Linked DNA regions of Nothobranchius furzeri. The protein of the gene in region 3 interacts with the protein of the main gene of each other region in a pairwise test. Links are inferred from orthologs where the notes say so. Each region holds a gene or a part of one and is shown on either strand. Other genes may lie near its edges. The genes, in order: taf12, prkacab and cAMP-dependent protein kinase type II-beta regulatory subunit.

What was found.
Region 1: the proteins of cAMP-dependent protein kinase type II-beta regulatory subunit (region 3) and taf12 interact in binary tests that used the Homo sapiens proteins (3 or more experiments, as listed by UniProt). The two-hybrid records come from large-scale screens. The link is inferred for Nothobranchius furzeri from reciprocal best matches to the Homo sapiens genes PRKAR2B and TAF12.
Region 2: the proteins of cAMP-dependent protein kinase type II-beta regulatory subunit (region 3) and prkacab interact in binary tests that used the Homo sapiens proteins (3 or more experiments, as listed by UniProt). The link is inferred for Nothobranchius furzeri from reciprocal best matches to the Homo sapiens genes PRKAR2B and PRKACA.

Annotation. Positions count from the first base shown.
Region 1 is NC_091745.1:72,393,486-72,397,761, forward strand, and holds taf12 (transcription initiation factor TFIID subunit 12), read right to left. Parts: upstream 2,864-4,276; 5' UTR 2,688-2,863; intron 2,047-2,687; 5' UTR 1,894-2,046; coding exon 1,816-1,893; intron 1,700-1,815; coding exon 1,622-1,699; intron 1,395-1,621; coding exon 1,280-1,394; intron 1,106-1,279; coding exon 1,017-1,105; intron 891-1,016; coding exon 855-890; 3' UTR 449-854; downstream 1-448. Other genes in the region: si:ch211-79k12.1 (roundabout homolog 1), read left to right, coding at 3,747-3,798, 4,244-4,276. UniProt on the Homo sapiens protein: The TFIID basal transcription factor complex plays a major role in the initiation of RNA polymerase II (Pol II)-dependent transcription.
Region 2 is NC_091744.1:6,143,455-6,147,717, forward strand, and holds the start of prkacab (cAMP-dependent protein kinase catalytic subunit alpha), read right to left. Parts: upstream 2,889-4,263; 5' UTR 2,665-2,888; coding exon 2,619-2,664; intron 1-2,618.
Region 3 is NC_091744.1:62,300,377-62,303,313, reverse strand, and holds the end of cAMP-dependent protein kinase type II-beta regulatory subunit, read right to left. Parts: intron 2,563-2,937; coding exon 2,461-2,562; intron 2,363-2,460; coding exon 2,288-2,362; intron 2,201-2,287; coding exon 2,132-2,200; intron 2,056-2,131; coding exon 1,920-2,055; intron 782-1,919; coding exon 648-781; 3' UTR 511-647; downstream 1-510. UniProt on the Homo sapiens protein: Regulatory subunit of the cAMP-dependent protein kinases involved in cAMP signaling in cells. Type II regulatory chains mediate membrane association by binding to anchoring proteins, including the MAP2 kinase.

The DNA.
Region 1 (4,276 bases), on a different chromosome or scaffold from region 3:
CGTTTTGATTAGAAGCCTTCCCTAATGTGATCCAGTCTTGGGCCAGTAGTTACAAATAAAATGCTTTGCTGTAACAATAACTGCACATCACTCTACAAGTGACTGACTTGTTTTCATGCACTGCTCCTGCAGCCATTGTGATCCCTCTAATAAACCCTTCATCCACCAAAAGAAAACAACTTAACAGCTGTTGCTTTATTTTATTCCACAGCCTAAATCATCCTCGTGTTTAGTGAATCCATCACATTTGTTGATATATCGGCTCAGCCTCTGAACCACTTCATCGTTCATCTAGATGCAGTTTTAAATGTGCTGGGATTGCCTGACACCGAGACATTTTTACTCGTGAAACCCTCAACTACACTCACATAAAACATCCATTTTCTTTGCTTTTCAAATGAATGACACTCAAGTCAAAGCATGGAGAATGCAAACTCCAAAGCATAACTTGTATCGTGGTATTATTACTTTATTTCTGACAATGTAAAATTCAATTAAATACCATATCTTTCTATTTTTGATTTAGAGAAAGAAAAGGGAAAAACAAAGTCAAGCAGGGTAAACACAGTCAGTATGGTTATCATCTCCATGATCAAGAGTGTCAAAAATCTAACCACATTAGACGATGACGTTACAAACAATATTTTTAACAGAGTACAATGAGGTTCAGCCGGTCGTAGCGCAGCGGTAACACGTCAGAGTAAAACACACAAATACTATCGTGCTCTGGCAAAGCACGCAAATGTCTCAAGAGACGTGACAAAAACGATTTATTTCAAAAGATATACACCCCTCGTCAAAACCACGTACATTGTCTATTACCAAAAAAACATTCAGAACAACAGAGTCTGATGCTACTTTTTGGTCGTCTTGCGGATCAGCGCCATTCTCTGAAACAGAAAATAAGAGATGATCTCAGTCAGGTTTTTTTTACGTGTGCAGACTCACGTACGATATTGAAAGGAATATTTAGACACTATTGATTCTAACAGAAACCAACTTTTTTTCATATTTACCTGTTTATGAGCCTCTGTGGTGCATGCTTTCTTGAACGGTCTGATTTCATCTGACCCGTAACCAGGTATCCACATGTTCCACTGGCGCTCTGAAAGCATGAAATGATTACATGAAGACAATATGTCACCTCAGACCTCACGATATTTCATTAGAAAGAATATTTGAAAGTAATGCTATTATGTTCTAGGTTTGATTTCCTTGTGCAAAAGTCCCAAAATTGTACTCATTTTAGAATTTTACAATTAAGTTACCCGAAACCTACCGAGGTGTAGCTGAACATCTTTAACTTCTAATGTGTTGGATTTGCGATGGCGTGCTAGTTGGCAGGCAGCTGTCACCACACTTTCTATGAAGTCATCCGCAATTTGAAGCAGCATCTGAGAAGAGAAACATTTCTGATGCCTTCAAAAACATTTATAGAACTCAAGCGACACTATTCAACCTCGAAAAGGATAATTATTATCAATTGCCCCATTATTTCTTGAAATCAGACTTCTAAACTATTTTTAAATGAGAAAAAATGCTTTATTTATGTTTAAGTCGTGTATTTTGAAGCAGATTTGGGTATGAAAGTGGAAATTTAAGTTGAACACCACTAACAAACCTCCTCAACATCCTCATCCAGCTGCTCATTTGGGTCGATTTCTCTCACCAGGTCCTGAAGCTTCTTCTTACTGAGCACCTGGAGAAAATTTTCACAGAAATGTGTGTTAGAATAGAATTCTTGTTTTTTTATTTAGAGATAAACACTTTATTCAAAATGACATTAGACAAAGACAGCAAAGAGGAGGAACAAACCTGAGAGCCCTCTGGGCTGCTTCTACCTGCAGGACCCGAGGGCAGACCCTTCACTATTATCGGGGTGTTGTTAGCCATGCTGGTAAACACAGGCAAGCGTACTGGGATCCACTGGTTTCTGAGGTGCCCAAAATGTGGAAGTCCTTCAGAGAAAGCAACAGTCCTGGGTGACCGTCCAACTTGGGCACAGGTAGAATAGATCACCTTCGTACGAGGAACACGGCCTTTAATCTAAGGTGAAGAATCAGAAAATAAACAGCAGTCCCAAGTGAAGTTAGCTTGATCACAAGTTTTACCAGAGTGACAGATTTTAAAAGGAAATTTCCATGACATAATTCCTCTCAATAAATCAAATTAATAACAGTTTTTTATTTCCAGCACAGATATTTGTTTTTAATTGCTGCTATTCGTGATGAATGTTGATCCACTGACTTGCTACCCATTAATGATTGTTACAATGACCATTGCACAGCTGTTGAAAAATATGTGCTTGAAAGTATGTAAGGTAACCTAATACTGACATAAAATAATATGAAGTGGAATAAAAGTGTTTGTGAGCTCGCTGTAGCTTCAATTCGCCATAGACTGATTAGATTAGCAGTCAAACAACGAGTTAGCCCTGGACAAATTACAGACAGAAACCAAAAAAGCAGAACATTTCGTAACATTCACTAAAACTCTCCGGTTGCAAGCAAGCGACTCAGCATCTGTGACAAAAAAAAAGCAGCGATTTAAAAAGTAGAAAATCCAGATACTAAAAACAAACGCTATCCATTTTTGACGTTAGCCACAGACGCTAACGTTAGCAGCTAATCTGACGGAAGAACGTTATGTACCCTGCACTCAAAAATTATCTGAATTCGAATACTCACCACGTTAAATAAACACTATCTGTCCATATTTATTTGATACAAAAACGACTAAGTGTTTTAGTTACAAAGATAATCCAAAATTGTGTCTCCATACAATAAAAACAAACGAGCGAGTGCTTTTCAGCATTTCCGGTTAGCTTGGTTATACTTCCTGTGTCAAGGCGTTGTTCCTATGTCGCCTCCTGCTGGATATTCAAAGTATTACACAAACAAGCGGGTTAAAACTTCACGGATTTACTGAATTTTACAGATAAATGAACAATTTTCCAATAAAATAGTGATAATCCAATCAAACAATATAAATAAACTGTACTTAATTGAAATATATTACAACAGAATTTCTATTTTAAACCCCAAACATTCCCTAATTTAATCTAAAACACTTCTGTGGAATAATTTGCTAAATGAAACATCTCTTAAACCACAAGTTAATGAAGAATATGAGCTTTTTATCAACCCAAATTTATTTTGTATTGAATTTATTTGTTTTGTAAATATCGTGTGCACACATAATCAGTTAATGACCAGATTTCGTGCCAAAACATAATAAAACAAATTAAGGGATCAAAGCCGATGAAGCGCATAGTGCTGGCTTGGCTTTTGTATTACATGTCACCCTACAAATAAAAAGTAATAGTAAAACAAAAGCAAAACTACAACAAGTTCTTCAGGAAACCCCTGAACTTTCAAACCTACCTTGAGCGCTTTCCCCCGTGGATACAAATGACGCGCTGAGTTTACATAATACCATTGGCGGAGGAGCGAAGCGTCCCTTTGTCTGGCGCAGTTGAGCAAATAACCGAAATGTAATCCCTAGAGCAACGCTGTTGCAAAACCATACCTATTCCGCGTCATTTATTTTCATGCATAAAATGAAAATAATGGCTATGATCTTTCAGAGTCTCTTAATAATCTGATATCACACTTCCTGGACAAAAGCAGAACAGAAAGCCACACCTACGCTCTGATCTACTAATACAAAGGAAACTTTCATTTCAGTTTAGAGCTGCGCAGCACTTCAGGACTTCAGTTTTAGTGGTGAAAAGATTTTCCACAGACATGAAAACCTTTCTGGTGTTTTCACTGGTGGTCCTGATTCATGGCACCTTCGGTAAATATGTTTCTAATTCTCATCAACTGTTTTTAAAGCTGTGTGTTTTTTCTTATGTAAAAGGAAGCTTGGTTTAGGATTTTACTCTTTTAGTTTTTCTCATTTTACTTTTTATCTTTTTGTTATAGATTTATTCTACAGAGTCGTGTTTACTTGCCTGTTTGCGTCTCATCTGTTCTAAACACTGGTGCTTACGTCACGCAGAGATAAACAGCAAATGTTCAGAGTTCAGAAAATTAAACAAATTAAGTATATAGAATATAACCTCATGTTTACTGGGTTTTAGTAGAAAAATAAAAACATCAACAAACTTAAACTCTTGGCGCCAATAGATGGAACCTGTTTGTGGTCATGTGATCAAAGTATCTAGTATTTCTATGGTTTAAACTTATTAATCTACATGCTTTCACTGATCAATAACTTCATTATTTCTGTTTTTATGCAGCAACTTTGACCATTAAAGGGCCAACTGAGCCTG
Region 2 (4,263 bases), about 56 Mb from region 3:
TCTAAAACACTACAGGCCTGGCTTGGTTAAGGTCAAAATTCATAATTCAACATAAGAAAAAGCTGAAAAAAAAATTGCATTATGAGAGTTCAAATGAAGGCAACTGGACTTCTTTGGTTTCTTGAAGATGTTTCGCTTCTCATCCGATGAACTTTGTCAATTCTAACTGGACTTTCGGAGAGTCAAGCTTATAACCCAACAGACATACCATATGTAGGCCCCCCTTGGATTGGTGCTGTCTTTATGGTGTCTAAAGCTTAGGGCACACCGGAGACAGACGCGCCACATCGCGGCTGCGCTATCATTTTAAATGGAGGCCATTATAGAAGAGGATAGGAAAAATGGTTAAGGGAGCTTCGAATCCTTCTTTCAGTAGGAAAGAACAACCATGAATCTTGCCATGTGGTAAATAGCAGCTACACGGGGGGGGGGGGGGGGGGGGGGGACGTCCGATTTGTAATTGTAATTACAAATTTTTACAAACTCATACGTTTCAAAATTTGACAGGTGTGATCGAAACACACATCTTTACTTTTCATTTAAATTGAAGTGCAACATGTGTGCAATTCAGGGCGTCAGGCAAAGCAGATTAAAAAATAGCTTTTTTAGCCCCATTGACTGAAAATGGAGATTAGTGGTGCGTTCCAGTTGTCGTCAGAACTCGTTTTTCTGAGGTAAGTTAACCGGAAATGACGCATTAAACTCAGAATTCTGAGCTGCGAGCTGGTAGGTTTCAGAGGACCCAAGATCACAAATTTTAAGATGTCCAGTGCTACCAGGAAGTAGTTTTCAGCTTTATTTTTTTCTCATTTATATGTTCTGTTTTTTTTTTTTACAGAACCGAGTAGTTGTTTATTGTTGTTATCAATTGTTATGTCGTTAAAAATTTCAACATTTCTGCCTAAATTGACCGGTGTCACTTTTCCTGGCGTTTCTACATCTTATTTGTAATGTTTTTCAGGTTGTATGTGGCAACTGTCGATGGGGGTGTGTGTCACTATTATTTAGGTGCACAGAATACTTGGTAAGTTCTTTTGTTGAAGTTCTTTTAGTACTCAACAACACTGGTGGTGTCCATTATTTTGTGTTGGAAGCCTGAATGCACGCTGTTACACTCCCCAGAGCCCAATGGGTCATCTAAGTATTCATGTTTATAGTTCCAAGGCCAGAACCTCAGCAGATTAAAAAAAGAACACAACTAAGACCCATCTCACATTTGCCAAAGGCATCATGATCTCCCGGGCTTTTGGCAAAATATTTTGTGGACTGACCAAATGAAATTCAAACTTTATGGAAGGTGTGCAACCCATTAAATCTGGTGTAAAATTAAATGTCAGTGAAAGAGCATCATGGTCAACCATGGTGGTGGTAGTGTGATGTTTAGGGCTTCGCTGCTTCAGCACCTGGACCACTTGCTGCAACGGATGCAAACATGAATTCTATCAGAAAATCTTGAAGGAGTTTGTAGCCTTTGACCTTAAAGCTGCATCAGCTGTTGTCACCAAAGGTGTTATCCCCAATTAAACAGTTTTCACATTAGCCTGGCCTGCCAGACTCATCCTCTGTTTAATTCTACACAGAGAACTTCCCATAAGGAAGCATGCGGCTGGCTGCAGGCTATTTTCACATAGAGCCAGACAATTTCCCCCCACCTTGATGAATTAAATCAGATACTGAAATTAGCAGAGTCTGAAACATCTAAATTTGACCCCAAAAGCAAAGACTGTAGAAATCTGTAAAGAGGTAAATACTTTTTCCCAGCCCCACACATCGTCTATCAAATTAGTCAAAGTAAATCCAGTTTTATTTAGTAACAGGATTGCTGTAAACGTGAGTAAAACTTACAGCACAACAACACACAAGAATAACATCCAAAGCAGCGATTCTGAGCCAAAATATTCACGCTTCATATTGAAGAATGTATATTTTTCATGTTTCCAATGTGCAGGTTGTTTTTACTGCGCCCTGAGGTACAAAGGTTGTGGTTCTTAATGAAAAGTCACGTAATGTCAACCTAAAATGTAGATTTATAAAACACAATCGCTTTGATTGCCATCGCTTTCTCATCAGTAGGCTTCCATACTTTTGTTTATTTGATAGACCAAATTATATCCCTTAGCCAATCAACACTAAATGCCCCCCCCCCCCCCCCCCCCCATGTTTGCAAGAAGTCTTGACAATACATCCCTCCAAAGAGCAACAGGCACAGAGTGTTCAGGAAATATCTGACACATAGTTTGTTGCAGTCTTGCCAAGATCCGAGTACAAGAGGAAGTGAGGATGCCAATATTACTGCAGCTTAAGAGTGGTTGTTTTGCAGTTAATTCTAGCTTTGCATCCTCAGTTAAATGCCCTGTAGCAGGAAATCTTGAGTTTTATTTAGAGATCTCAATAACATATTTGAAATGATGAAGAACTTGCAGCCATCGCTGCTGGTATGGGGTTCATGTCAAATAACATCCTAATTCGCTTGTAAGGAGGACATCATGTGGATGGTATTAAATGAAAGCATCGTGAGGAAAGGCCGCTGTGTTGCAGGTTTTGTAAAGCTAACATCGCCTGCCGTGTCACGTTGTCTCTGATCATCTCGTGAGGATGTAACGGATCAGGATACCCACCGCTTTCCATCTCGCTGCCCTTTCTTGCCGTGGGCGCGTTGCCCATGATGACAACCTGTCAACAGGCAATCCGCGGCGTTCCGGCCGCCCTGCAGCCTCCTCAAGTCGGTCAAATCTCGATCTGGACGGTGTTTTCCTGAATCCAGCAGCAGCACGGAGCGTTCACTCCGAGGTCTTGCTCTTTAGTAGCCTGACAGCTGCTAATGCGGCGCCACGTTAGATAAGCGGGTTCGCTCCCTCCCACGGTCACCCGCAGCCGCTGGCCAGCATCGGATTTAAATCCACGTTGAGCTGGGGCTTCGCCGGAGCTTCAGGGTTGAGCTCGGAGGCAGCTGGCCTGGACACGGAGGATACAGTCTCCACCTGACCCTCCTTGCAGCCCCCGCCGAACGGAGCTCCCCTCCCCGGCTCTCCACCACCTCTCCCAGCCTATAAAAACAACAATACCAGCGGAGAGGGAGCAATGTTCTCAATCGAAAGCGTCTCGCTTGTTGTCAATAAAACCAGCTTAGCAAAATTTTAGCCTCAGCGGGGTCCGACAACGACAGGTATTCACCCAAATCAACATCGGGCCCCCGTAGCCTCGGAGACCAGCGAGATGACGGAACTACAGCGGAGCGAACGTCCCGCCTACTTGCTTAAACCAGCGTTGAATGACAGCTCGTGCTTACGTCGATGATTGGCCACTTTATCAGAGCGGTGACCAACAGTTTACTGTGATTGGCCAACTGCAGCCGTCAATCAACAACAGCAGCTTCCCACCGCCCAACACAACGCGAATGAGGGCAACGTCACAGAATATTTTCCTCCCGACAACGACTCCGCCCACTTTTTGTGATCCGGCCCTTCTATTGGCTAGATACGGACGGACCGTGGGAATCTCAGCGAACACGAGGACGCCCATTGGCTGTCACCAGTGATTGACATAAATACCCTCCTCCTCTACTTCGCTCTTTCCCGCTGCTGAGCGACTGTTACACGTTTGGCTGAGTGACGTCAACCGTGAGTCTATTTTTAGAAATGTTGGTCAGAATTTAACGCACGCGCGGCGCAGTGTGGCAGCAAAGACATCTAAACATTTCGCAGGCTATTCTGTGAGAAATGAACACAAATAAACAAGATTTTAAAAACTGGTGTTTCATCTTCATCACCCCGCAGCAGCTGGACTAGAGAGCAGCGGACCAGGGGTCCTTTTATCATCAGCATCATCAAAAGCTCCGATTCGCAGATTTGCATTAGAATGCCCCTTTGATTTAACGTAAGCTTGTGTTGGTAGGAAAAAATAAATCAAATCTATAAATAGATCTCATAGCATCCTCATCACTTTGACTCTGAAGCCACATTTTTTACAGCACAACCAATTAACCAGCTATATTCTTTTCCACATTTGATCTCAGGTGCTGTAAAACCATGCCAAATGACTGTCAACGTTAGGCAAAAGTGGCAGCTCTTCAAATTAAATAAAGATGCAACAAGCAGATGTTTGGCAATATTTACCAGATCGATTTGCAGCTGATCAGCTTATTTTTAGCTCTTAAACCCTGCTGCATGTTTACATAATGCTGCATTCGGAGTGCATCCAATTCTGATTGCTGCTGTTTCGGTTGTTTTAAACAGGGCAGATGTGAGAAGCAGACAGAGGTAA
Region 3 (2,937 bases):
ATGTTTCTGAAGTTTGCTTTGTTGAAAAAGCAGAGCATTGGGCAAAAAGCCACAAACATGTACTAACAGTAATTATGGGGATGGATTTAAAGATTTCAGTCTGATGACTAACAAACGTATTTTCGTATGACGGCTAACTACATTTTGCTGTAATCAAAAGTCCTGATTTTTCTCATGTTGCACCTCCGCTGACAAACAAAGGAGGCAAATCTGCTCACAATTATCCAGTAAGAGTAACTAGCTTTGGCACCCAGTTCATGAAAAGCATGGATCAGAAATGTACACATTATGCATTACTGCTATACCGTTATGAAGAAAAGCGAAAGTTAGTGTTCATTTACCAACAAATAAAGCACTTGGCACCAACAAGTAAAATGCACACATATTTTAGGGTGAAAATCATGGCAAATGTAATTAAACAAGCATCTACGCAACTCTGCTTTGGCTTACTGCAGCTGTGACGTTCGGTTGCAAACTCAACACGTCTTGTTTCAGATGTAGAGTGGTGGATATTTACATGTCTTGTTTTCTGTTTTCTTAAAAAAGCTTGTTTAAAGTAGTAACATGGAAAACATCCATATAAGCCTCTTTTTTGTGTATGAGTGTGTTTTGTATCATCTTGATTATGGTCCATTGGAGGAGTCACCTCATGCATTCTGTTGTTCAATCTCAGGGCTACTTCCAAACAAGGTCACCAGCTGCTCCTCGTAGTTAGCAATGTTCCTCTTCATGATGTCCATGCATGGGCCGAGCAGTCTCTCAAAGGCTTTAACGTCCATGACTAACAAAAAGGAAGGGATAAGGAATTGTTTTACAGAAATTAAATAATGTAGACTAAAGCTGTCCAAACATTTTCAAGACGAGGGTCAAAAAGCATCTAATTAGTAGTCGTAGGTCACAAAATTTGGATTTTTTTTAAAAGACCAACAAATAATGGTGATTTGTTTTTATTGCACTCCTTAAAATAGGTCCAAACTTGGCCTATTAAAAATCTGAACGTAATTTTTTTTTAAGTATTGATCTACATTAAAAGCCTGCTGGAGAGACAAAATTAATTAATGTAGAAATACAATCGGAGACCGAGCTAAATCAAATTCCTTCTGGGCAGCACTTTGGACATACCTGATGTCGACTCATAAGCAGTAATCTGGACTGTTCTGAAGAATGTAAACTTTCTTCCTTTACTGAACCTTAAATAGAATTTTAAAACATCAGAATAAGAAAGTAAGACGAGCTTCCAGACAATTTCAGTCCTGGATGTTTGTACTTCAAAGAAGATGAGAAACTACTCTTTGAAAAGAAAGTACCCAAGTGAATCTTTGGGAGTACAAAAGATAGTGACCGGGGTAGACCCGCAAAAAAACTGTGAGCTTTTGTTGGTCGCCTTGTAGATATGGCAGTGCACCTGATGAGAGCTTTCTGTCATCAGAGTGTTCTCCAGCATTTGTCATGATAACTGAGGTGATCCCAAAATCAGGAAACCTTTGTCTGTTTTATGTTTATTATGTACCAACGTTTTTTTGTTACATTTTAACGTTATCAAAGCAAACATATGTTTGGTATGTGGATTCAAAAAGACGTCTGAAAATACATTCATGAAAAAACTGACAAAATACCTAAACTTGTTTATCTATATTTTAAGTTTATAGCATCACATTTTCCTTAGTGTGCTTTATTTTAAAGCACTTATTAGATATTATTTAGTGAAACTGTTGTATAAATCAACTCCAGCAATGAGTGCAATAATTCACATTTTGGGGTTTGGGGGTATTTATAAAATAGACCTGAACATTTATCAGGTTTGTCAAATACTCTTAATAGCACAAGCTAAAATATTTCAAAAACAGTAACAACAGAATTGTATTTATGAGCATTTATGAGCTATGACCCTTCAAAACATAGAACTGTACAAAATGTACCCAAGCATTTGACACTCCCCACAGCATAGGCAGATGCAGCTCTGGGCTTGTTTGTGACAAGAGCCAACTCTCCAAAATACTGGCCCCTTGTGCATGTGGCAATATCCACCTCCTCTTCCTCCTGGTCTGTTTTTGTCTGGAATGATAAACACATGTTATCACATGTTAATACAGTAACTATATATGAAAGTTTCCTCAGAATAAATAAATACCCGGCTTCTCTTCATGGTGATTCTAACTTGGCCACTCTCCACGATGTAGAAGCAATCTGCTAAATCACCCTGTCATGAAAAACAATATGACCTTCTGAGCACAAAAACTAGCAACTCAAATTTTACAGACACAAAACTAATTTAAAGTGTCTTCACCTGAGCAATGATCTGCTGTGAATCATTGTACACCCTAGTGGTTAGCACGTCCACCACCTTCATTCTCTCTGACACCTGCCGACAAAATGAAATGTGTTTTTTTTTACACTTTTACTGTAACAACATGATGCAGTTTGTTGCCACTTGAGTAAAAAAGCTCATCTTTTGTTTACCTCTAAGGATGTGAGCAGTGGTAGTGTTTCAATAAATGCTTCATACATCTTCCTCTTCTTGGCGTTGTTCTTCACTATGATCCTCCTGAATGTCAGTCGATCCTGAAACACAGGTATATATTTTGTCTTGTTATACACAGCCATGCACTGTTACGAAATACATTTCTGCAAGAAAAAAAATCAACGTCGTTTTCAATAATCAAACCAGGAAGCACAAAAACACTGTTGTGGACAAATAGGGATGCAATCCATAATTCTGCATTCTCCTCACGTTGCATTTCCTCTACTGCTGCAGGTTTCTCTGCCTTCTCCGCAAACATTTAAACCGGATTACACAGCAGGTGTCAATAGAAGCCTGCTTTAAGTAAGCAAATCATTTACTGTCAAAAGGGACGATAGGGGGCGCTCTAGCGTGTCGTTTTGCATTATTTCAGTAATAAAATGTTAAAAGAAACCTTTATTGTTTCATTAATTCAG